Danio rerio: one gene and its partners. The protein of the gene in region 3 binds, or shares a complex with, the protein of the main gene of each other region. Links are inferred from orthologs where the notes say so. Each region holds a gene or a part of one and is shown on either strand. Other genes may lie near its edges. The genes, in order: taf6, taf8, taf5, taf12, taf4a, taf11 and tada3l.

The links.
Region 1: taf5 (region 3) and taf6 share a complex: the UniProt entries of both Homo sapiens proteins name them as parts of the TFIID basal transcription factor complex. The link is inferred for Danio rerio from reciprocal best matches to the Homo sapiens genes TAF5 and TAF6.
Region 2: taf5 (region 3) and taf8 share a complex: the UniProt entries of both Homo sapiens proteins name them as parts of the TFIID basal transcription factor complex. The link is inferred for Danio rerio from reciprocal best matches to the Homo sapiens genes TAF5 and TAF8.
Region 4: taf5 (region 3) and taf12 share a complex: the UniProt entries of both Homo sapiens proteins name them as parts of the TFIID basal transcription factor complex. The link is inferred for Danio rerio from reciprocal best matches to the Homo sapiens genes TAF5 and TAF12.
Region 5: taf5 (region 3) and taf4a share a complex: the UniProt entries of both Homo sapiens proteins name them as parts of the TFIID basal transcription factor complex. The link is inferred for Danio rerio from reciprocal best matches to the Homo sapiens genes TAF5 and TAF4.
Region 6: taf5 (region 3) and taf11 share a complex: the UniProt entries of both Homo sapiens proteins name them as parts of the TFIID basal transcription factor complex. The link is inferred for Danio rerio from reciprocal best matches to the Homo sapiens genes TAF5 and TAF11.
Region 7: taf5 (region 3) and tada3l share a complex: the UniProt entries of both Homo sapiens proteins name them as parts of the TFTC-HAT complex. The link is inferred for Danio rerio from reciprocal best matches to the Homo sapiens genes TAF5 and TADA3.

The regions. Positions count from the first base shown.
Region 1 is NC_133180.1:59,077,300-59,080,404, reverse strand, and holds the end of taf6 (transcription initiation factor TFIID subunit 6), read right to left. Parts: intron 3,064-3,105; coding exon 2,872-3,063; intron 1,500-2,871; coding exon 1,209-1,499; 3' UTR 501-1,208; downstream 1-500. UniProt on the Homo sapiens protein: The TFIID basal transcription factor complex plays a major role in the initiation of RNA polymerase II (Pol II)-dependent transcription.
Region 2 is NC_133198.1:35,334,925-35,339,018, reverse strand, and holds the start of taf8 (transcription initiation factor TFIID subunit 8), read right to left. Parts: upstream 2,801-4,094; 5' UTR 2,731-2,800; coding exon 2,683-2,730; intron 840-2,682; coding exon 680-839; intron 46-679; coding exon 1-45. UniProt on the Homo sapiens protein: The TFIID basal transcription factor complex plays a major role in the initiation of RNA polymerase II (Pol II)-dependent transcription.
Region 3 is NC_133176.1:52,734,687-52,738,186, reverse strand, and holds part of taf5 (transcription initiation factor TFIID subunit 5), read right to left. Parts: intron 1,840-3,500; coding exon 1,704-1,839; intron 1,628-1,703; coding exon 1,507-1,627; intron 515-1,506; coding exon 385-514; intron 1-384. UniProt on the Homo sapiens protein: The TFIID basal transcription factor complex plays a major role in the initiation of RNA polymerase II (Pol II)-dependent transcription.
Region 4 is NC_133191.1:38,670,043-38,674,218, forward strand, and holds the start of taf12 (transcription initiation factor TFIID subunit 12), read right to left. Parts: upstream 2,801-4,176; 5' UTR 2,716-2,800; intron 2,276-2,715; 5' UTR 2,210-2,275; coding exon 2,039-2,209; intron 607-2,038; coding exon 529-606; intron 1-528. Other genes in the region: ctps1b (CTP synthase 1b), read right to left, coding at 3,448-3,526, 3,632-3,776, 3,850-3,946, 4,032-4,087. UniProt on the Homo sapiens protein: The TFIID basal transcription factor complex plays a major role in the initiation of RNA polymerase II (Pol II)-dependent transcription.
Region 5 is NC_133186.1:23,089,786-23,093,736, forward strand, and holds the start of taf4a (transcription initiation factor TFIID subunit 4), read right to left. Parts: upstream 2,801-3,951; 5' UTR 2,281-2,800; coding exon 1,584-2,280; intron 1-1,583. UniProt on the Homo sapiens protein: The TFIID basal transcription factor complex plays a major role in the initiation of RNA polymerase II (Pol II)-dependent transcription.
Region 6 is NC_133198.1:380,037-384,034, reverse strand, and holds the start of taf11 (transcription initiation factor TFIID subunit 11), read right to left. Parts: upstream 2,801-3,998; 5' UTR 2,452-2,800; intron 1,413-2,451; 5' UTR 1,348-1,412; coding exon 1,189-1,347; intron 1,103-1,188; coding exon 957-1,102; intron 858-956; coding exon 770-857; intron 1-769. UniProt on the Homo sapiens protein: The TFIID basal transcription factor complex plays a major role in the initiation of RNA polymerase II (Pol II)-dependent transcription.
Region 7 is NC_133186.1:18,282,646-18,286,145, reverse strand, and holds part of tada3l (transcriptional adapter 3), read right to left. Parts: intron 3,422-3,500; coding exon 3,318-3,421; intron 3,218-3,317; coding exon 3,117-3,217; intron 2,361-3,116; coding exon 2,169-2,360; intron 1-2,168. UniProt on the Homo sapiens protein: Functions as a component of the PCAF complex. The PCAF complex is capable of efficiently acetylating histones in a nucleosomal context. The PCAF complex could be considered as the human version of the yeast SAGA complex.

The DNA of each region.
Region 1 (3,105 bases), on a different chromosome or scaffold from region 3:
CATTTGTTAAAAAAAAAAAAAAAAAAAACATAGTTCACACGAGACCTTCATGTCCAAAAAGATCCCCAATGGAAACCTTAAGCACTACAGTATAAGGTATGTTTGAGGTTTAGTGAATCCACATTTGTTACCCAGACTGCAGTGGCGCAGTAGGTAGTGCTGTTGCCTCATAGCCAGATGGTCGCTGGTTCGAGTCTGGGGTCAGTTGGTGTTTCTGTTTGGAGTTTGCATGTTCTCCCTGCATTCGCGTGGGTTTCCATCGGGTGCTCCGGTTTCCCCCACAGTCCAAAGACATGCGGTACAGGTGAATTGGGTAGGCTAAATTGTCCATAGTGTATGAGTTTGTGTGTGATTATGTGTGAGGATGTTTCCCAGAGATGGGTTGCGGCTGAAAGAGCATCCCCTGTGTAAAAACTTGATGGATAAGTTGGCGGTTCATTCCACTGTCGCGACCCCGGATTAATAAAGGGACTAAGCAGACAAGAAAATGAATGAATGAATGTTGTTCCATGCCTTTTTATTGACATTTTTCCTCACAATTATACAAAACTGTATTTAAGAATGGATTACTTAATAATTGCTAATACCTTCAGTGTACTATTATACTTAATATCTTAAGTTTTATCTTGAGAAAAGAAATTGAACTGATATAACAAAACGTTTGACATGAAAACAAAAAAAAAACACTGATTTCTACAAAAAACATTATAACATTAAGTATTACAAATTAAGAAATGTAAATCACACCTTAAAAACCAACTTTATTATAGAAGATAATAATAAACTTGAAACTGTAAATCAATTAAATTGTTAAACCCAACAAATGCCCAACTATAAAAAACATTGTATTAATGGTGGACCCATTAATTCCTACCCAGAGAATCCACATTTATCATTCTTTCTCCTGTTATCTGCATATATATCCTCATGTACATGAAATACAGCTAAACTACAGCTAAAGCTAGGAGCTCAAAGGCAGAACCAAGTCTTGTGCTTTCATCTCAAATCACAATAAAGGTTCCTTAACATGTTTGTATGTATAGATGTCATTGTTACAGCCTCGATGTGCTTGCAGCCACAACTGTATTGTGTGTCTGTGACATGTATTTGTGTATCTGTGTGTATGTTTGTTTTAAAGCACTTTGATAAGCATCAAGTTACATTTATTGTTGATCTATACCCTGATGGCGTAAGCAAGAGTGAGAGTGTCAATGTGGCAATTGTGTGCTTGTGGCTGGTGATTCTGAACATTCCAGCTTGACTGCAGACTCCATGCTGATAGGTGAGGTAGAAGAGGAAAGGACACCTGAGCCCTTATTATCCATTGATGAAGAGGATGAAGGCAAAGACACCACAATATATTTCTGGATTGGGCGTGAGCTGCCCACAGCACCTGGATTTCCAGACTCCAGTTTGACGAGTGGCTGTAGACTTGTTGGTGTGCTGGGGACTGTACTTGTGACAGGGGATCCAGACTGAGAGGAGCTGAGAGTGATTACCTAGAAGAAGAGCTTATGTCAACAATTACAACAGAATTTACTCGTTTTCTGCAGAAACTATCGGCCAGCAGTTAAACTAGTAGAAATAAAATGTTCCATTAGCAGAAATAAAAAGTCTTATGTGGCTGCATAGATAAAGTGTTGGAGCATAGATGTAGTTTAAGTAAAGTGTCCGATGCATTTGGAGAGAATTTCGACAGGTGGTTTGTCAGACCCCACTGTTCACAGTGTGAAGCCAAAAGGCTTTGGCAATATGTATTTCTTTGTCAAATTCCTTATGAGTTTATGGCAATTTGTCAATGTTTCAAGATGTACAGATGACATTAAAATACATAAAAGCAGTCTTTAGGACCAAGAGCAGCTGCTGTGTCTGATCACAGTGCCATCTTGGATCTTGGAATTCAAGGAATTCAATACTACAGTGCTATAGTCGTGAGACATTTTTGGTGCATTAACAGCGAGTGTTTCCCAGAGATAGGCTGCGGCTGGAAGGGCATCTGCTGCGTAAAACATATGTTAAATAAGTTGGCGGTTCATTCTGCAGTGGTGACCCCAGATTAATGACTGAATTAATAAAAGTGAGTGCATTTATGAATGTATGAAACATATATGAAACCTTCTGACAAACTAATCTAGCACAAACTAGTGCTTAAATGTAAAAAATGCAGTATTTGAACCTCATAAAAAAAAAAAAAAAAAAAAAAAAAAAAAACTGGATTGTACATTTAAGCACTGGTTTCTGCTTTATTACCTTGTCGCAAGGTTTCATAATGTGCAGTGCATAGTGTGCACCATGGGTCTATATAAATTCAGTGACACAACATGCACCAATGAATTACGATAGACCCACAAAACTATGCTATCATCTCCCTCCATGATTTGGTTTAATAGGATTTTTGAAAAGCAGGTGGGGCAGGGGTTAAGAGTAATTTGTGATTTAAACTAAATTAGAATTATGGAAAGGCTCAAGGTCAAATTTCTGTAGCAATACACCACAACTTATGTTATAATTACCTTTCTTCAGTGGTGATGTCATTATGCGCACCATTTTATTGGTAAAAACTAGTTGTTGAATGGAAATAAGTTAAAGACAGCTAATGTTTTTTCTTACAACTACATTGTTGGAAACAAAAAACTGGGAACTTGACTTATGCCATGGTAAACCATAGATTTTTACTATGCATTAAGGCAGTTTCTAAATATAAAATAGGTTTCTTTGTTTTATTCCCAAGTTCTTTAAAAAAGTAAAACTATTTTTATTTTAAATAAAAATAGTACAATTAAAGGTTTTCTTTTGTATGTGGGAAAACAATCTTTGTGAAATAAAATTTTGTTATATTACATATAACACAAATTACTTTAAAACTCTTACCTGCTGTGTGGATGCAGCCCCTGCACTTGTTGCCATAACAATATACTTTGTTGCTGGGGGTGATGGCTGAGTGGGTGTTCCAGGTCGAGTAGACATGAGGGTAAGTGAACTGGGTACTTTAATTATGCTGGGTGTACGTGAAACACCTGATGTTGACAATCCACTCTGAGACATTGTCAAAGTCGGACGTGGCTAAATACAAGACGGAGAGAATTTAGGTTTGATGTGTATGAT
Region 2 (4,094 bases), on a different chromosome or scaffold from region 3:
TGTGCTCACAGTTTGCCTTTGCGCAACGTCCAACTTCTGTTATATCTATCAAAAGACAACAAGACTCTTAAAAATCAAAAAGTACCCAATTCACCTACAGCACATGTCGTTGGACTGTGGGGGGAAACCGGAGCAAACATGAGCTCTACTTATTAAAATATATTTAAGAATAAATGGTCATACTAGACACACAAAAACATGTATTTATCCATTTATGACCTATTAATAAACTATAACTTAGCAGACAAATAAGTAAACTAGTAATCTAAATAAATAGTGAACAAGTAAAAAGATTTAAAATGACAATAATTAAAATTTTTGGGAGCTACACTTTTCTAAATACTGTATGCCTGACAAAAAAAAAAAACTTTTTTAGTGTATACAATATTAGTCTTATTGACATTTCAGTGATAATTTATTTGCTCAGATTAATATATTTTTAAATAGACACATTCTAATGTACAGAAAAGTGTAAAGTAATTGTATTGTTTTGTGAGCTTTTATTCAACTATAGCTCAATTTTGGTTCCCAAACTGTGGTTAAATTAGAACATAGAACCATAAATTACATACAAATACACACAAACGTAAAAAGTAAAACGCGATGATTTGTGATATTGGTATGCATAAGCTTTTAAATTTTGTCAAGATGAGCTGCTTAAAGTAAATGAAGGACTCACAGCTCTGCATCATCTCAGTGAGTGTCTCCACAACAGCTTTCTCAGCGCTATCAAAGCCACACTCGGTCAGCAGAGCACTGACCACCACTTGCAGCGTGCGTCTCCGAGCCAGCTGATAGTTCTCTGTGGGACTGGTGCAGGTCTTACTGCTCCCCGAGCGCTGGAAATAATAAAATAAAAGATGATAAGAAGGTTTTACAGATCAGGAAGTTTTAAAACATATCTGCATTTAATACAGCAAGGCATTTCTTTGAAAATGCAATAAAAGAGATTAAGTTAGGGCTAAATGAACTGCATTTATTTGAAATGTTTTACAATTAGTATGGTTCCTATACTGTAAGCTTCTGAGTTTTTAAAAGGTTTCAAAGTTTATTCTAAGATTAGTGTTGAAGAAAGAGGAATTGTATTTAGTGGTAATGACTAGGCCCACACGAAATCTGCGCGCGCAGATTTTCCGCAGAATTTCTGCAGATTTTTAGCCCATCATTAATTCTGTTTATTTACTTGAGTAAATGTGTAAATCTAAATTTATTCAGTTTTTATTCAGTAATTTATTACTTTTTGTTTCATATATTAAGGTTTTAGTTTTGATACTCCGCTGGATACTCCCAAAATAATTCTGCAGAAATCCGCAGATTTTTACCAAAAATCTCAGCAGAAATAGCAAAAAACATCTGCAGATTCCGTCTGGCCCTAGTTATGACTCATGAATATAAAACTTTGAAAAAATAATGGAAAAGTTAGTCATGTAATTAAGTTTTTATGAAAATCAAAACGTTTTGAGGTAGATTTACTTTACTGGAAATTACTATAACTCACATTGTGGAATCGTATGTGATTTTAAGTTAATTTCTGCTTAGTTAAGTTGGTTTTATATGGCACATTCATAAAGTGACAACTTGTGAGTCGCTATATTGTTTTCCATGCTACTTTGATTATTAAGTGTAAGGGATCAACCTATATTAAAACATTGGTCAGGGATTTATTAGGTCATTTAAAGGAACCAAATCTTGAAGATCTGAATTACTTGATTCAACTCAATTGAGTCAAACTGAATCAGATTAAAAGCTTTACCTACTAAATCTACCATTTGTCCAGCAAATAGAAGACATCGTATTTTACCAATCCTGTTTAAATTAATTCCATGGCCAACGATAACATAACAGTATTGGGTAAAATTTTAGCTAGGTAATGACTTCAAAACAACATTATCACTGCTGCTAATAGGATTTCCCTATTTAGAATTTGCAAACAACATGTTTCTGAACTTATATTATTAAGGACAAAGTCTGAATGTGTGAATATAAAGCCACCTTTACCTCAATCTTTGTTAATGTTTTTTTATTTTTTATGGATGGATCCTTAACAAAAAGTTAGGGATTTTGTAAGGCTGTGCTTATAATTACTGAGGCAAAAATGCATCTATTGCATTCATTTTTGCATCTGAGAATCTGGTTAAGATTACTATTCCACTGTGGATTGCATTAAGAGTGTGGTATTAAATTATGGTATGTAAAACTGCCCATTCCTGTCAATAATCTAGTTTACTGTTAATATATTATGCTAACCCAATTCTCCATGCACAATAACTTGTCATTATGAGTGACATTAGCATTGTTTCATAGAAAACTCCTGCTGGGAGAAAATTGAGTTTGTACAGTTGCAGTACAGTAAAGTTTGTGATTTTCGGCTTTAACAAGACGTTTACCAGTTATATAAAACACTGTTTGACGACACTGATCTGCAACAGCTCACTATATAATTGATATATATATATATATATATATATATATATATATATATATATATATATATATATATATATATATATATATATATACAGACGTGTTTACATACGATACGGTGTCTGCTTTAAAATATATTACACAAGTGCCTTTAAGTCTAATTTTGATCAAAAAACTAAAGTTAGTATTGTTTGGCTGAGCCAGCAGGGTGAAGGAAAGAGTAACGTTAGCGTTAATGAAAGGAGATATTTAACGTACGCTTCCGGAGTTTAAAGATCCGCTCCCCATCATTACCGAGTCTGCCATTTTAGAACTCTAGTGGTTTTTCCTCTGATGTTTAGCATTCGCAAATAAACTCATTGTGCGTTCTGCGTTTGCTAAAAACTGTATTTGGTGTTTTTATATTGGGCGAAAATGGCAACCCTATCAACATTTCCAACAGGGCGACCGGAAGGTTGTTGTTTTCTGTGCAATTCCAAAATAAAAGTCAAACAAAGAAATAACTGTTGCATAGCCATTTCCTAAAAATGAAAGCAAAAGTAGAAATTTGCATTTTTTGAAGTCATCGTCAATACGGTATTGTAGCATGCTCATAAAACTTTTATTAAGTTATTCTAAAGACTTCTAAATATGTTATCTTTATTTTTATTTTAATGATTTGAATAAAAGAACCATCACACACGAACTAGCTGTTAATGTTAATAGTTAAATGTCGAACATCTTACAGAAATGTCAAGTCTTTTAGATAACAAAATGTTCACATCCTTGCTTTCTACATGATTCTTTAGTAAAACGGTAAACTGACACAGAAGATTTAATTTTTAAGTTCTGACCTGAAAACGAGGTACAAAAGCTAGGTAAATCAGTTTTAATCCTAGTTTTATTATAATATTTGAATCGTGGGAGTAGACACAAACACCTCAGACCTTAATGCTACCAAATTATTATATTATTTTATGTATTTTTCATATAATTTGACATGTTAATGGGTGTCTGTGTGTTTTTATGTTCTGCGGAGCAGGAATCTGCTGAAAAACAGCATTCATGCTGAGTCAGGCCCAATTATCTTTTAATCTTTTCATGTTAAAAAATTATAAATAAATAAAAATTTTCCATGGAGAGCACAGATGATGGTTGCTTAGCAAAGGCTGATACCACAAATGCTTTGAAATGAGTGGACAAAGCGAGACAGACCAACAAGGCTTTAAAACGGATGAGGATAATAAACTTTCATCATGATGATGAACTAAAATGTCACATAAGTGCAGTAGACATGATAAAACCAAAACAATGTCTTGTCTTGAGAATATCTGAGAAAGACTGTAAAGGACCCACTTTCTTCTGGAAATAGCTCATTTGCATTTAAAGAGATGCACATTTTTTGGGTCATTTTTTTTTTTGCAGCATGACATAAAAAAATAAATGATCTGTAGCTTAATTTGAGCTGTAGCTGCACATTCTGTGGACACAGAAATGCATTACGCCTATTTATTATGAAGCAAAATTGGTCTCCTTTATTGTGTCTTAGTATATCCGGTAGATCTGCATTCTGCATATGGGGCAGAAGGTTTAGCTTAATGTGTTAAAGGTCAGATTTGCCAATCAAAATGTATCATTGTGAAGCAATCTCAAATGACAATATTTCTGTAGTAAATTTATATTTATTGATT
Region 3 (3,500 bases):
CATGACTTTATATTCTATACTGTACATTATTTCTTTTAAGTGCCAAGACTTTTGTTTAGGTGAAGTCAGACCTTACTGTCCTAATTACATAATTAAAAATCAAGGTATGATCACATCTTATTTTGGTAAAATAAGCGTAATCTAGGGGCCTTTTCCTTTCATATAAGCTACTTCTGACACCAAATGATAAACTAGAAGTCAAGTTATTATTTGTTGTTCCTTAAACTTGGATAGACAACAAGACTTTTGTCAGGTAGTGTACAGCAGCTGAAAAAAAAGATAATAAATCATGCAAGAATATTTTTAGGGGTGGCAAACTCTGTTCTGATTTAAGTTCTGTCTAACTTATTTAACCATGAATTGTTCCTCTAATTTTCTTGATACCTGTCTGGGCTGAAGCTGACCCCATACACTGGCCCACTGTGACCATGGAGGATCTTAGACTCGCTGGACGTCTTCTCATCCATGATCCTCTCTAGAACATCATCTGACTCTTTATCAATCAAATTCAGGTCTAAAAAAAAAAAAAAAAAGAATGGTTGGCACTGAAGTGAAACAAGACATCATACATTAGATTTTATATACATTATATATACACACACACACACACACACACACACACACACACACACACACACACACACACACACACACACACACACACACACACACACACACACACACACACACACACACACACACACACACACACACACACACACACACACACACACACACACACACACACACACACACACACACACACACACACACACACACACACACACACACACACACATATATTGTTCAGAAACGCTAGTGTGGACGCGGATTGTTTTTGATCTAAAACGCCGTTTTAAAACTAAAACACACAAGTGTAAACAGGGCCTTAAGTTGCCAGCACAAGGGAACAGATCTCAGATAAAACTACAGTGTTTGAGGGTCAAATGTAGATTTAGTTTATGGTCAGCTAATGAAGACCACAGACTGGCATTGTGCAAACTAATTATAAACCTCAACATAAGAGTTCTGATTTATTTCTTTGGTAGACAATAACTCCATTTGATCTTTGAATCTCTGCAGAACTTTAATATTTCCAAACAGCTACAGAATATTTCTAAACTACTTGACCCTTGTATGCTGTCGGGGATGCTTTCATCCACTCTGAGGTGATTTTGAGTCTTTATTTGGCAACAACTTTATCTGTGTGTCAGCAAATGCAACATGTTTCTAATTTGGGGAAAATGCTTTGAAATTTTTCAGAAACTCTGGGCAAATTTACTACCCTTTCGTTATGTTGGTGGCTGTTTTTGCCCCATTGACTTTCATTATAACCAAATAATCACCAAATACATCATGCAATCTTAAACTGATGTTGGTTTTATCTGTTTGGAAGAGGTCAAATTTGACATTTTTACTGTTGATCAATTTAAACAGTACACAAAGGATAACAAGATAGTATCTGGGGAAAACAGTGGCACTTAAAGCTTTAACAGAGACACGTACCTGCAGCAGATTTGACTTTGCGTAGTTTTTTGGGTGTGACGCTCCACACGCGGACTGTAGAGTCTGCAAAGCCCCCCGCTATCAGACTTGAGTCATCGGTGAAATCTACTGCTGTCAAGCCCTGAGCGATGACACACAATCAGCACAGGCAATGCCAAACAACACCAAACGGAACCATTAACAAAAATAACGCCAACCTGGTAGGCGTTGAGGAATGTGTAGAAGCAGATGGAGGGCAGGGTTTCCGGGCCGAGGCGGATTCTTTTGGTGCTCTCCTTCATGTACATGATTTTGTCCAGTTTATCCGAGTCCTTCAGCTCTGGCAGAGGGATCCTGTCAGACAGAGGTTATGAAGCTACAAATGCACTTTCAAAAGAAATCTAAGCATCGCTTTTTAGCAACATACTCAAAAATTGGCAGAGTTTTTTAATGTTTTTGAGAGAAAACACTTTAAGAATTCAGATTTGAGATTGATTTTAAACATGTTCTCATTTTTGATTTATGCTCATCTTTTGATACATAGACACTGTCTACACTGCCAGGTAAATGTGACAATTCAAATGTTTAGCTCATATGTGACAGATCAGATCTGTTCTATGACTATGTAAAAATGAAAAAACACATGCATTGGGATATTCAGAGATCACTTTCAGGCTTCCTTCATATGTGGAAATAAATCGGATATAAATCGGATATGCGACTATCATTTAAACAGGCAGATCGAATTTATTGAGGCATTTCGTTTTGTATGCATAGGTCATTAAACTTGCGACACTGTGGTACTTCTCAGCGGTTTAATGACATAGAAAGGAAGAACATGCGTGGAGATGCCGACATGAGGAAACATTAAGGAGGAAAGTGGTCAGTGGTCGAAGGCAGAAGTTACCTGCATTCTTGCCCTGTGGGGAGATGAGTCAGTTCAAGAAAAGATTAAAAGGTCCTATAGAAATAATGAATGGAGGACACCATATATAAACCACAGGCGCAAGCTGCGATTACGGCCCTTTCCCCTCCTCTTCCGCCTCAAAATTGTTTTAAAGTTGGGCGAACTTCACATATTTCACAGAGCTAAAAGTAAGACTTTCTACCATGGTGGCTAGTGTGACGCAGATGCTAGAACCCGCCTTTATGGATGCGCGTAAATTGCACGGCAAGTGTAAACACATGAATCAGATATGAGTCACAATTAAAAGAACGTGTAAACGGACAGGCCAAAAAATTAGATATAGGCAACAAATCGGAATTGGGCATCAAGGCCTGACAGCGTAAACGTGACCTCAGTCTGCATTTTTATTGCTTTACATTAGACACATTTTCACTTACAATATAATCTTTCAAACTTTTACACCATAAAAACTCTCATTCCTTTATTAGATTTAGCAAAAACGATAATTAAAAACTATTAAAAACTAATATTGCGAAATATTATTTAGTCCCTGCAAAAAAAAAAAATTTATTATTATTATTTTTAGGGTTTTTGCTATATTTGCAGCAAATCTTACAGCGTTTTCTTTTATTGTTAATTCTTTATTAATTAATTGACCTCAAGAACCATTGCTTTCTTTCTTTCTTTTTTTTGACTTAAACTTTATTGTGTTTTTAATAAACATGGTTACCAACAATGGTAATAAAAAGAATTTCTCAACATTGACTTGGTTCAATGTGTATAGCATGCTTGATAACAATATGAAACAGAAATAAAAAATTACAAATTATATATGTACACAAACAAACACACACATATATATATATATATATAAATATATACATATATGCATACAGAAACCTGTAAATAATATGAGAGAAAAAAACTATATACAGAATGTCAGAGAAGTATATAAATGAAAAAAGTGTCTACTAAGATTATTGTAAAACATTAAACAGAAAAATATATATATTTTAGTAGTTTCTCCTATGTTGTTGAATTAAATCACTTAAGTTTTAATAATGGAGATCAAATTGTCATGTATTTGGTTCCAATGAAGGATTGTTGA
Region 4 (4,176 bases), on a different chromosome or scaffold from region 3:
ACTTCTATAGAGCTTAGTGACATTTAAAGGCCTAACTAGATTATTTAAGTTAACTAGGCAGGTTAGAGTAATTAGGCAGGTTGTTCTATAATGATGGGTTGTTCTGTATACTATAAATATATAGCTTAAAGGGGCTAATAATTTTGACCTTAAAATGGTGTTTAAAAATTAAAACTACTTTTACTCTTGCCGAAATAAAACAAATAAGACTTTCTCCAAAAGAAAATAATATTATCAGACATACTGTGTAAATGTCCTTGCTCTGTTAAACATAATTTGAGAAATATTTAAAAAAGAAAAACAAAATTCAACAGGGGGGATAATAATTCTGATTGCAACTGTACATCAACTGATTATTTCCCTAAGTGTTTTATATATCATTGCAATTAAAATCCCATTTGTTTCTCACAAACTCAACTATTTATTATTCAAGTGTGTTTAAAATGGTAATTTGGGCAACAAACTGACTAGTCAACAATGAATGTGTGAGAACACTTTTGAACATCATCAATAATAAGACACACGTACTTCTTCCACATCCTCATCAAGTTGCTCATTAGGGTCAATTTCTCGAACAAGGTCCTGCAGCTTCTTCTTACTGAGCACCTGTAGGGAGGACAATAAAAATACATAAATGTCAATATATTTTTAAATTGGCTTAAAAAAGTCTATTTTCACATATAGGTCTATCGCAAATATTGATTATTTGTCTGATCTTTGTTATTTGATCTACTTTCAGGTGTTGAAAACAGGTTTTTTTTTTTTAAATGAGGGAAATTAAGTGCATAAACAAATTAACATGCTTAATATACATTTTACCTGTAAATGACAGCTTGTTTTATTTCTGTGAAGACCAAACTAACAGAGAACCAAAGATCTTCTTTCCCACATATATTGTTATATTATAATATCATATAACATTATGATTGCTTGGTTTTATATGATTTTTTATTTTAATATAAAACGGACCAAGACTCAAAATTTTAACTAAAAAAATACAATTTGAATCTTAACATTTACCACACATTAATATAATTTAAATATAAATATAATTAAAATGGAATTTAAATTTAATTCTAATTTTTATATTATTTTCCATAGTTTTAAAGCCATACTGGCCTATATTTAATCATGTTTCAAAGCAAAATAAAAAGTATATATGTATATAAATAAATAAAATTATTCTAAACTGTTAAAAATCTAAATATTTTTAAAATTATTTGCTTGATTAGTAATCATCAACACAAAATTTTCAATCATGATAGGTATACTGCTACATCCAAAGCTACGGAAGAGTAGAAGTGCAAATCATGATAGATTGAATGAAGCAAAAATGTTTTGACAAAAATAGTCAAACAAATAGTTTTTAAAAACATTTTATTTAACGTTACACAGTTTATTATAGTTGCTACTTTTTATTTTGCTTTGAGACAAGGTTAAATAAGCCAATATGATTTTACATTAATAATGGGGAAAAATGTTATATTTAAAAATTAAATTTATATTCAATTTAAATTGTTATTAATTTTAAACTATATTAATGTAGTTAAATGTTAAGATTTAAATTAGATACTGTTTTGTTTCATTTTTTAATCTAGGTTCTTTTTACATATATAATATAATATAATATAATATAATATAAGTTTTAAAGAAGAGCTTCGACTGTGTATTTGCTTTCTTCTCTAGGTTTCCGCAGAAATGAAATAAATGATCATTTAGAGGAAGGAATGTTTTTATGCATGTTCGTGTGAAAGTAAAAGTTGGTTCGCACATTCAAACTTTCTCAATAATATAATTTCAGAAAAGTATTCTTTGCAAATTCTAATAGTAGAAATCTTATTAGTAGCCAATGACTATCAAAGTACAACATTGTTCACAGTCAATTAAATAGTGCTAATATTCTTTTGTAGTCATACTTTGATGCAAGTACAGACTGAATATTCGTAGTAAACAATATAGGGACCGTCTTACTGAACAAATATCCGAAAATAAAACCAACGTTACCTCAGTCTTATAATAGCTGTACAGTCTGACCCACCTGAGGTCCTTCTGGGCTCAGTCTGCCTGCTGGTCCGGGGGTGCCGGGCAGTTTCCCCGGAGCGACCGTGCTGTTGGCCATGCTGCTGGACAGCGGCGGTGTTGAAGAGGCTTCTGCTTTCACAACCGTGTAGAAATTCGAGCGACTGGTCTGTGCTGGATACTGGGTCATACTATGCTAATCAAGAGATGTCAAATGTCACAAGCCTCTTCAGAACTAGTGGGAGTTTTAAATCAGCTGCAGAAAAAAGATATTAAGAGTTCAACTGAGTTTAATCAATGCATAAATACATTAAGGATATTAAACGGCTGTTTTAAGTAAGTTATATCAACGAAGTGAAGAACTTTTAGCTCGATAGAAATAAACATCACCGAACTGTCATTTGCTGTATATGCTAGCGTTAGCCTTTTTGCTTCGCCAGTGTGTTATGACATAATTCACTTAAACTAATTGATAATGTAAGTGTTATGCTGATATTAATGTGATATAATGCAAATTACCAAATAAGTATGGTTTTTAGTCTGAATTTCTTCATAGTTGTTGTTTTTAATCATCACACTGTAGCTTAACATATTAGCAGCTAACATTAGCGAGAAAAACATTCGTGCCAATACACGTCTCGCGATGCTTTCCTTTTGTTTGATGTAATTCCGTTTAATTGTTAATCGTTGCAGTACCTGATGCAAATAATTCTGTATTATCTTTCCATCTTCGACGTTTAAGGTCTGGAAATATGCACAAGCCCTTCCAAGTTGTTTTTCCTTCTACAAGCGCCTCTTCTGACGAACGGAGCTCAACCGAAGTATCGCGAGATCTCAAAAGTCTTACAAAATAAAAGCACAGAGAAGTTGATGAAGCCTTCTGGAAAATGATCTCTTCCAAATTGTTATTTTATTTGGTAAAGTAATAGTTATAAGTGGTAGAGTGCTCTCTCTCTATATATAAAAATCCCCTAGTTTGTAAAAACAATCAATTTACATATGTATTTGCATAGACAAGTTCAGTGAGCCATTTTAAACACAGCTCATTGTTATTAATGTCAACTCCTGATAAAACCATCCAAGTAATACTAGTTATGATACTCGAAATACAATAAATGTTAAATATTTCATAAAACTTTTAATATATAATATTTCAGCTAGTTCTGTATAATAAAAAATTACTTTAATATACAAATTAAAATTATTAAAACACATTATTTCTAAAATTTTAATTAATTAAATAAATTAAATTAAATGAAAATGTACAATGAATAACTATAAATTATCACTTCTATACCACTGTACACAACACACTTGTTCACATTTTAAAACCAACACATTAGCATTGTTATCCATTTATTTAAATTCATACATTCATATCATAAAACGTCATTCATGTGTTTTTATGATTAGGTGGGTTTTTCCTTTTTAAGAAAGCGATGGGAATTTGAATTCAGAGATTTCCGAGTCTGGTGAACTAGTGCCGCTTCGGTCACTGTATGCGTCTCTGAGAGAGAAAAGGAAAACAAGATAATAAGACAACTTACACAGTATACTGCATGTCTCCACTTTAAATTAATTTAGGATGATATGAGTTTAAGAAGCAACAAACCGAGGTGAGAGCCTGCATCCTTTCTGGAGGTAGTTTTGCAGTTTCCCAGACGCTGCCAGCAGAAGGCCGAAATACGGTGGTGAGGGTTTGATCGGGCGAGAAGTGAATTCTGGATGGTACTGCACTCCAACAAAATACGTGTGATCTGTTTGGACAGAAGAAATCAGTTGAAATGAGCACTGACTGACCGCTTTTTCAAATACTAGACGATCACTGACCTTCAAGTTCAATGATCTCCATCCGCTCCCCCTCTAGGTCCTGACCCACAAATCGAAAACCTCTATCCTCGAAGTGGTGCTTCAGTTCTGGATTCACCTGGAAAAAAATGCAAAGATTACTAACATGAATAAATAGAAAACAAAACATTTACGGTATTTTAGAGTAGATCTTTATTGCAAACCTCAAAGCGGTGTCGATGCCTTTCGTCCACGTATTCAGCATCTCCATACAGCTTTCCTACAACAATATAATTCAAATATTATCTATATGCACTTATTTAAATAGAATGTACATTTATATTTGTGACATATGATTTTAAGATTTTA
Region 5 (3,951 bases), on a different chromosome or scaffold from region 3:
TTTACACATTTTTTTATAATTTCTTAGAGCAATAGTATCTTTAGCAGAAAATGACCCTCCAAAAATGCCTTTTCAAGTTGTAAAGAAATCTGTGTTTTTTAAAAAAAAAAAACTATTAAACCAGCAGAAGTCAAATAAAATATATTGTGCTTAATGGGGAAAAAAGTTGTTGTTTTTCACAAAGACATTTAAAAAAAACATGAAACTGTGAAATTTTTATCCAGGTTTTTTTTTTTTTATATCGTCATACTTATACCGGCCCATGCCTAGTTATGGGATAAGAAAAATATCAATCTGTAAACATATTCTATATTTTAAATGGGAAAATAAACATGCATTATGGATGTGACCAAAAAGGTTTACAGTACACAGCACACTTTGTAAAAATTCTGTGAATTAAACTGCACAACCCAAAAGAAATAATGCTAATCAAAAGAATAAGAGTTGGCCCACTACAGAACAAAAATGATTAATTTTATTTGACATTTTTGCATTTATGAGTAAAAGGCTTTGTTATGTATGTGACACTTTTCAATTATGGATGTGACAAATGTGAAATTGCCAATTGTGTGACTTTAGTAAAGCAAATAAAATAGTTTGAAACACTGACAGAGACATGTTTGAGTATTACTATTAAATACTTGCTTACACTGAAAAAAAGTGTAAAAACGGTTTCTCTATTTAAGTGAAAACTTTATTTCTTTCATGGCAAGGTTGACATTTGCATGGAATTGCTTATATATGTGAAATACCAGAGCTGTATATACTTTTTTTGTGGTTGTGAAGTAATTACCTACACATAAGCGTGAGTGCAGACAAGGCACTTGTAAGAAAGTAAAAGAACAAGGCTGAAGACTGAACAGTGCTGACTAAAATTACCCAAATGGATGGTCAGACTACACTTCTTGTTAGATTTACATCTATTATTGTATATGAATGCTGAAGACTGGAATCACATTTAAGAAAGAACTTTGGTGAACTCTGACCCTCAAATTTGTATAATCTGAGATGTGACCTCAGATGACTTTGTACATGAATTGATACAAATGTACATGAATGAAGAGTAGCTTATTTTATGAATTATTGATATATATTAGAGCAAATTAAAAAATATGCCACAGAGTAAATATTAATAATTTAAATTAAAATATAGTTAGTTTTTGACTAAAAAGCATGGAGAGGACTTTAACATCAATTTGCTTTCAATCGACTTATAAAGACACAGTTCACCCAAATATTACTAATAATCATGTTGTTGGAAGTCTGCAGGACTTACTTCTCTCTTAATAGAAAGAAAAGTCACAAAGAATGTATGGAGACTGAAGCTGTCAATATGTCTGACAGCTCCTATTGAAGAAAGCGAGTTAGGCATGTTCGGAGTGTGTTTTAGATAAACTAACTTTTAATTACACTCTAATGAAGATATACTTTTGTTTTATGCACTTATTTTTTTCAGTTTGCAAGTATTTCAGGAGAGAGCAAACTTCACACGAAACCAAAACACTCCTCGTAAGTTTCTCTATACACATATCATGTCATTCCAGACAACATTCAGGGAAAGTGCTAATGTGAGCGTGGGGTACCTGGAGGTAGCTGGATATTCTGGATGTTCTGGCCCGGGCTGCTCTGAGGGAGTCGGGGCGCTAACACCTGTGGCGCGCTGGCCCTGATGGTCGGGCTAGATGATGCTGATGCTGCTGCAACAGTTGCCGGAGCTGCGGTTCTCGCAACCCCCTGCAAAACAGCCCCCTTGGCCACTGCAGGGCCGACAGTCATGCTGCCTGCGGGCTGGATGATAGTTTTAGGAGACTCGGACTTGCTCGCGGTGACAGGTGCAGAAGTCTGGTTCAACAAAAGAGGGGTCGTTGTAGTAGTAGAACTAGTAGTAGTAGTTGAAGTAGTAGTTATTCCCGGGGTCGCTACATTGGCTACAGAAATGGTGGTATTATTATTACTTCCGTTAATAGTTAAACCTGCTCCAGCAGTTTGCATAGATGGCCTGACAACTGTCACTAAGGGTCCTGCACTGGATGCTGCGGCTGGAGGAGTCCCGAAAGAAGACTGTATCACTGTGTTTGGGCTTGGGGCGACCGTGACGTTTCCGAGTCCTTTCGCCACCCCGGGCCCGTTATTAACAACCGGGACAGAAGTTGAAGCGTCGTCTGACGATGATGATGATGGACCACTGGACACTGGAGTGCCGCTTTCAGTGTGCGGATCCATTGCATTGCCTCCGTTCAAAGTTTGCACTGTGGACGTCCCGATCAAAGTAGTTACCATAGCATTAAGAAAGACCGGATCGCCTTAGCTGTCTTCCATCTGTGCCTCTGGCACATCAGTTCAGGAAGTTTGGGTTTTCATCGGCTTTTCCCTCCAGTTGCTTTTCGAAGGAAACAAGCGTGAGTGAATGGGAGTCTCGTGTCACAATGTCAATAAGGATTTGACAAGCGCCCGTGTCACCTCAAGTCCATTAGTAACAATGCTCTTGGGAGAAATAATCATCTAACACACTTGAAGAGCGACTGCTTTCATTATGTTCATATGTACAAGAGCTCGCAAAATGTCAACATTAGCTAGTTGAATTGCCTCTTTTCCCGGAGTCAGCGGGGTGATTTTCCGGCTGCCTGGGCGCTTACCTCAAACTTATTATGGCAAGATGTGGAAACGTCTAATCTAATACAACCTGAAGTGTCGGTAAAAAGTTTCTTTCCCACTCTTTTAATACAGAAATCCTTATATAGCAGGTCAAAGCCTGCCGCCATCTTCGATGTGAACAGTGAGGAGCTTTGGATAAAATGACATTGCGCATGCGCGCAAAAGCGGAAACGTCATTACGCTGAAGTTTTGTGGAGCCGCCATTGGTGGTCTCCGTGCGTGGAGGCGGGACATGAGAAACGTCAGTTGATTCTGGCGGAGCGCGGTCAGAGTCGGTCTGTCATCGAGAAAAGGGCCTTGTGAAGTTGAAAAACAACCGTTGAATTATACGGGCGCTGCTCTCGGTTGTGTCTAGAGGCACTTATAGCTGTTATGTGCGGGTTATAAAGCATGTAGAGGCTGTTGTGTGAACTTCACAGCGGGCTGTCTTCCCCCAAGATGGCCCCGTGTTTTGAAGCGTCTGTGTTGAAAGCGTGAAAAGGCGCCACACCTCTGCCAGCGTGACTGGCCATAGAGGGCACGCGTGCTACTGCAGCCATAGTTCACAGGGTTTCTGGTCACACGCTCAATCTTCACTTTAACTTATGCTACACTTTTTCTGTCAATGTGCACAGCGTTGCATCGGGATAAAAAGTCTGTATTTTGCAAGCACGTTATAAATAAAATATGGCTGATTAAATAGTCAACGAAGTGACAGAAAGAACCAATAGAAAGCTCTTTCTTGAACCAATAGTACCTAATTTTTTTCTAACATAATGTGAGCTGACACATTTGCTCTCAAAAGTCCTCCCTTATTTTTATAGGTGTTTTTTTTTTATAATTTGATAACATTTTGTTAAAATAGCAATTAATGAAACTTATATAAAAAACTTTATTTATCTGTGGTTGCCACAGCGGAATAAACCTACTTATCCAGCATGTTTCACGCAGCGGATGCCCCTCCAGCTGTAAACCCATCACTGGGAAACATTCATACTCTCTCTCATTCACACTTATACCCTACTGACAATTTAGCTAACCCAATTCACCTATACCACATGTCTTTGGACTTGTGAGGGAAAACCAGAGCACCTGGAGGATACCAACGTTAACATGGGGAAAGCATGCAAATCCCACACAGAAATCCCAACTGACCCAGCTGAGGCTCGAACCAGTGACCTTCTTGCTGTGAGACGACATCGTTAAACAAGCATCACTAAATATTAGTCGTGTTTTTCTGGTTGTTTTCACTATTTCTAATCATTTCAATTAAGGATGAGAACTTTAACACTTAACATCTATACCAGTGTACTTTAC
Region 6 (3,998 bases), on a different chromosome or scaffold from region 3:
GGTCGCCACAGTGGAATGAACCGACAACTTATCCAGCATATGTTTTACGCAGCGGATGCCCTTCCAGCTGCAACCCATATCTGGGAAACACTCTTACACACTCATTCACATTACATACAATTTAGCCCACCCAATTCCCCTATAGCGCGTGTGTTTGGACTGTGGGGGAAACCGGAGCACCTGAAGAAAACCCACACGAATGCCGGGAGAACATGCAAACTCCACACAGAAGCCCCAACTGAACCAGCCGAGACTCAAACCAGAGACCTTCTTGCAGGAATAACAATGCTGCCATTTTCTTTTCAGCTTTGTCCCTTTATTAATCAGGGCTCGCCACAGCGGAATGAACCGCCAACTTTTTCAGCATATGTATTCAGCAACCCATCACTGGGAAACATCCATACACACTCATTCACACACACACACACGCATACACTACAATCAGTTCCCCTATAGCGCATGTGTTTGGACTGGAGCACCTGGAGGAAACCCACGCCAACACGGGGAGAACATGCAAACTCCACACAGAAACACCAACTGACCCAGCTAAGACTCAAACCAGTGACCTTCTTACTGTGAGGCGATTATGCTACCCACTGCAACACCATGTTGCCCAATATTCACAAATTAAACTTAGGCAGACAGCCACACACTGAATAATCCAAACAGACACAATATTTACCAGCTGTAAAAGACTTTAATACTTTCTCTAAACAGATTGATCAACTCTGAATTCTTTTTAAGACCTGTTTTTAATTTAAAGACTCACTCTTTTAATAGCTGCCTTAGGGAACGCCGAGCGCCTGTACATCTCATAGCGGTTCAGCTGCTCTTCAGAGAACGATGATACTAAAACTCTGAAACACAAACACGTCTATTAGTGTTATTATCAGTTTACAGCTACACACACACACACACAACACACACACACACACACACACACACACACAGCTCACTGCATCTTCTGGATTTCGTCTTCATCCACTTTGTGGCGTTTCTCCTTCTTCTTGTCGTGCGGCTCCACTTTCAGCTTTTTGGCAGGAGGAGGATGCAGAGATGAAGATCCCTCCTCCTCTTCATCACCAGCATCTTCAGCAGGCCTCTGAGGAACACAGTGATGCATGGTTGATTTATTTGCATGAGAATGAAACTGAATTCATTGAGGATGCAGAATGAAGAGGCAGAGACCTGACTGAGCGTCTTGCCCTCCTCTTTTACAGCAGTCTGTCCCGCAGCAGGGTCAGAGCTCTTACTGCTGCCCTCCGGACCCTCACTGGACCCCTCGCCCGGTTTGGGTCTGTCCACCGATGTGCCCGCTTCAGGTTTCACACGGGCCGGGTCTGCCATGATTTCAGCTGATGGATCAGGGAAAGGGAATGTGGAAATAATGGACACTGCTGTAGTGTGTTTATCTGCAACACATGAGCGGGAGTCCCTGATCCAATTACAACTGAGCACTGCAATAACACTGTTCTAACTCAGAGTGTCTGTTTCTAGTCCAAATATCTAAAATATCTCAAGAAGCCTTGCTTGTGTTTCATGATTGCAATATATATATATATATATATATATATATATATATTTTTTTTTTTTTGTAAGAATTACTCTGGATGAATACTATTGAATGTAAAAAAAAATTACAAAGATTACAAAAAGCAATTATGTAGAACAAATTGTCATATTACAAAAAAAGAGAGCAACCATTCATTACAATTTTTAAAAAATGTTTATATATATATATATATATATATATATATATATATATATATATATACATATATAATTTTAATGCACATGTATTTAATTAATTATTCTAATCAAATGATTATTTATTTGATTTTAATATTTAATTATATAATATACAATCTTTGAAAAGAGAGAGCAATTTGTTGTTGGTTTACAAAATTAAGAAAAAGATTTAAGGAACATTTAAGGGGAAAAAATGTGTAAACAGGCAACCATTGACTTATAATAGGAAAAACAAACCCTACAGAAGTCAGCGGTTACCGGCTTCTAGCATTCTTCAAAACATCTTCTTTTGTGTTCAACAGAAGAAAGAAACTCATAAAGGTTTAAAACAAGTAAAGCAAGAGTAAATGATGACAGAATTGTAATTTTAGGGTGAACTGTTGCTTACAATGTCAATACTGTCATTACAGTTTATAATTTAGTCTGTGTCTTCTATAAAACATATAGAGGTGAAGTTGGTTGTATATTCTGATATTCAGACATTCTCCTCAATATAATGTCAGAAAAGTATTGTAAATAGGGAAATGATATTAGCAGCAAATGACTATCAAAGTACAGCATTGTTCACAGTCAATTAGACAGTGTTAATGTTGTTTACAAGTCATACTTGCATGCTAATTCAGATCCAATATTCAGAGTAACATGCTAAACAATATAGAGACTGCTAAATGCACCAGTGTGCGGATATAAAACCTACTTTACCTCTAAATATCCATTAAGTCCCCATATATCATTGTTATTGATCGTAAACAACGCGATTAAACAGGGCTCTATCTAATGTGCATTAGCTGTATTAACGTTACACTCGGTCATCTTCAATGTAATGATAGTTTACTTTAGGTGAAAACGGTAACTTAACGATCATCGTAACTTACGATGCTATGTGTATTTGGGGCCGGATTTAACACTTGTTAGACAAAATAAAACCGTGAATTCATAAAAAAAATCAAAACATACCTAAGACCGACAACCGCGTTGAAAATAATGTTTAAAAACACAAAAATCCAACGAGTGTTCTCTGACGAGCGCCTCAGACCGACAAAGTAAACACGAGCATATCCGGTTAAACTACAAAATAAGAGTCCGCACAAGCGTGCACAGCCACGTCAAACACTTGGTGGCGCACAATACTATACATTAAAGCAGCGGTTCTCAGATTTCTTTCATCAAGGACCACCTCAGAAAAAATGTCTCTTCAAGAACCACCATAAGGAGCAGTACTGAAATGCAGAAGTGTAGTAGGCCCAATGAAGCAGCTCTGCACAGTTCAAAAACAAGGCAGATTAATTCCTATTAATACGAATATTTATTATTGTCAGCCACTTTAAACATTATAAATAGTTGAAACATAAACACTGTGCTTACAGTTACAAACAAACAAACAAACAAACAAACAAACAAACAAACAAACAAACAAACAAACAAACAAACAAACAAACAGGGACTAATAACTGATTTAATCCATCAAAATTCACTCGAGCTTTTAGTTTAATTGCAGAAACCCTTTAATTATTCATAATTATATATTTATTTGATAGATATTCACAAATGATTAAATCACATTTAATTATTTAAATGTACCCCTTGCATATAGTTAAAATTTTATGCTTATATTTAAATAATAATAATAATAATAGGCTAATTAATGATGTTATTTCAAATTATCCCATTTCAACTAAACGATATGTACCTAAAATGTCCATAAGGAGTATTTGTTTACTTTTTTATTTTATTAACTTGAGTAAATGTATTTTTTTATTTTTCACTGATTTGTTTGTTTGAATATATTGCCCATTTATTTATTTATTTTAATCAAATATTAATTACTTATTTGTTTCATTTTAATAATAAATATAATTTAATATATACAATGCAAATAATAGATATTTGCACTGATTATTTTAGCATGGTCAGGTTACATAAGTCAAATTGTTTCTTTTATTTTAAAATTGATTAAAATGATTTTGACTACTTGAAACCTAATTTTCAAGCCACTATTAATAACAATAATAATACGCATAATTCATACGAACTGTGGCCTCACAGCAAAAAGGTCTCTGGTTTGAGTCTCGGCTGGGTCAGTTGGTGTTTCTGTGTGGAGTTTGCATGTTCTCCCCGTGTTGGTGTGGGTTTCCTCCGGGTGCTCCGGTTTCCCCCACAGTCCAAACACATGCGCTATAGGGGAACTGATATAATGTATACAATATTGTGTAAACAGTAATTATACCCAGGGTTATTTTTATTAAAAA
Region 7 (3,500 bases), on a different chromosome or scaffold from region 3:
AAAACAAACAGTACAGTGGGTATAGAAAAGAATCACCCCCCTTCAAAATAATTACATTTTGTTGCATTGTAGCCTGAAATGAAGACAGACAGAGTTTTTGTTTAATCTACCTGTGTTTACTTAGTGCAACTTATAACACCCAACCAAAAGATATAACACCAACATGTCTGAAAAAAAATCAACATATAAAAAACTAAATCAATGGGTTGGAAAAAGAATCACCCCTTGATTCAGTATTTGGTTGAATAACCTTGTGCTTTAATTACAGCCTTTAATCTGTTGGAATACGTTTCTGCTAACTTTGACTTTGAAATATTAGCCCACTCCTCTTTGCAGAACTGTTCAAGTTCAGTTAAAATGTGATGGTGTCTGTTGTGGACTGCAGTCTTCAAGTCCTTCCAAAGATTTTCAATGGGGTTTAAGTTTGGACTCTGACTTGGCCATGCCAGGACATTCACCTTTTTCTCCTTTAACCACTGTGTGTGTGGTCAGTTTTTCTGTGTGCTTTGGGTTGTTGTCATGTTGGAAGGTAAACCTTCTTCCAAATGATAACTTTCTGGCAGAGGGCAGCAGATTTTCCTCAAGAATTTGTCGGTATTTTGCCCCATCCATTTTTCCTTCTATCCTGACAAGTGCTCCAGTTCCTGCTGCAGAGAAACAGCCCCAAAACAAGATATTTCCACCTCCATGTTTTACGATAGGGACGGTGTTATTTAGATGATGAGCTGTATTGGAGTTCCGCCAGACATATCGTTTGGTGTTGAGGCCAAATAGTTCAAATTAAGTGTCATCTGACCATATTTTTTTTCCCACATGGCCACAGAATCTTCTAGTTGCGTTTTGGCAAAGCTCAGTCGTGTCTGTATGTTGCTTTTCTTGAGAAGAGGCTTTTTTCGTGCAACCCTTCCATACAAGCCACATTTGTGGAGAATTGTTTATATTGTTGTCACATGCACACAATGACCACTCTTTGACATAAATTCCTGCAACTGTTCAGAGTTGTTGTAGGCCTCTTGGTTGCCTTTCTAACCATTTTCCTCCTGGCTCTTTCATTCAATTTGGAGCGACATCCTGATCCAGGAAGGGTCTGTGTTGTACCAAATACCAGCCACTTTTAAAAAAAAAATGGACTTCACTGTGCTTCTAGGCATTGATAAAGCATTTGAATTTTTTTTGTATCCATCCCCTGACTTAAGCCTGGCCACAACTTTATCCCAGGAATCTTTTGACAATGTCTTGCCACCCATAATTGATGGTTTGCTTCAGTTGCACTACCTAGGGTTAAAATGCTACAATAAAGCTATTTTCATGCTGAGCTAATCAAATTGACCACCAATGAAAGTGAAATGGCATTGTGTGTCGTTAAGAAGGTGATTAGCTACACCTGATTGAGTTTACCAGAAATTTTTAGGAGGAGGTGATCCTTTTCACAACTGAGTGATTTTGTTTTTATGCTTGTTAATTGTTTTCTGACATGTTGGTGTTATATCTTTTACATAGATGTTACACATTGCACTGAATAATTTCACCTAGATAAAAAAAAACTGTGTCTGTCTTAATTTCAGGCTACAATGCAACAAAATCTAATTATTTAGAAGGGGGATTATTCTTTTTATACCCACTGTAGCTATGTTTCTAACCACCTATTTTTAGGCTCAAAATATTTTAAAATGAGCATAAGACATGCGAATAACTGAGTAGGACATTTTATTCAGGAAAAAATTAGCATAAACTGCGATGGAAACGCTACCAAATAAATTCTATTGTGCGCATTAAAAGTCATGCGATTTTGTTATAAGAGATTATGTGATGATGAAAACGTGTGTAAATGAACAAACCAGCTGGCTGAGCACACTGTAAAACAAAAACAAATTCAATTTTTACTGTTGATATTTGGCGAAACTTAATCAGGATGTGACAATTTTGTTGTCTTTGACTCGTTGGATGGAAACGCTGCTTTATTCGCATGTCTTTTATGTGATATTCCAGTTTTCTGCATGCATTTAATTTGCATCTTCGCATGGAAATACGGCTACTTTATTTCTCAGTGCAATTAATTTGCATTTCATGCAGATTTTAAAGTTTACTTAAACCATGAGCCGGATTACCAGATATCTCATGCCAATAACAGTCTTGATGTTGATCTGATGTGTTTCAGCAAGACTCACTTGAGCAGCTCCAGTTTGCGTGAGCGGTTGTGTGCGGTCAGTGCTTTAAGTTCAGCTTGTCTTTTCTGCAGTTCGGCCAGCACCTCATCTTCAGACTCTCCTCCGACCCCTTGCCTCTCATCAGAGTCCAGCAGCCCCTGAGACACCAGCTCTTCTCTTATACGAGCCTCCAGAGAGCGTGTGTGAGGTACACTGAACACACAAAATGCTCAATTCAGCAGAATTCGAAGACGGAGAAATAAAAGATTACTAATTGATCTAAACTAATGAGACTTTCTATATTGCAAAGTCAGCTAAATATTTGCTATGTTATATATGTTTACTTTGTGTAGCCGTTGACTAGTAGCCACCATTAGTGCTACTAAATACTAAGATGTTAAAGTAAAAATAAAAATGACACCTGATTTTATTTATTACTTCTTTAATAACTATATTTACTATTTAAATCAATTAATTGGAAGCTTACCTGAACAACTAATTGACTGATCAGTCTTAATTGGCTCTATATAGCCATAAATATATATATTTATGATGTATCCTATATTCTACTGCATTTGTGTTTGCATGAGATGTGTTCTTCTTTTCAAAAAATTGTTAAAAATATAATGAAATTTTTAGAGAGACGGTTTCTGGAGGTGTTGAAAGCTTGTGGCAAGACACTCAGCGCAAGACATAACAACCAAAAATATCCTGTAGCACTGATGCTATTCAAGGATCACATTTTACCATAACAATAGTTTAGTATTAAGTAAAGATTGTGTAATATTAAGAAGATAATAAAAATCGTACTGTATTTTCCATTAATTAATGCAGCCTTACAGTAACAGCAGTAACTTTTTCAAATAAACAAAATAGACAAGCTAATATAAATCTTATGAAAGTCAACTTTATGTTGACTAAATTCTAAAACAAAAATTATGAAAATCAAGTGACAAGACTTGTTTTTACCTGAAGGCTTTCCCCTGGCTACGAGGTGACGTACCAGCTCCATCATCCTTCCCTGGAATGTCTGGAATGGGGGAATCCTCCATAGGAGATATGATGTTCTCCTACATCACAAAAGAATATGACTGAAACACTGATATAAACCAAGCAGTCAAAAAGCTGAAAGTATTGCACTATATAATTTGCAAATGAGGAGTCGCAGACCTCAACAAGAGCTTGTAGAAGTCGCTGAGTGAGCGGACCGAAGGGGCATCCGTCCTCTGGAGACTCATGCTGAGACTCAGATTTCTTCAGGAGGGCATCTACATCTAGACACGGCAGTATAATACAAGAAAAAGAAACAGATTTAAACAGGGTTACTCTATGGGTCATGTAATACCATTGAAA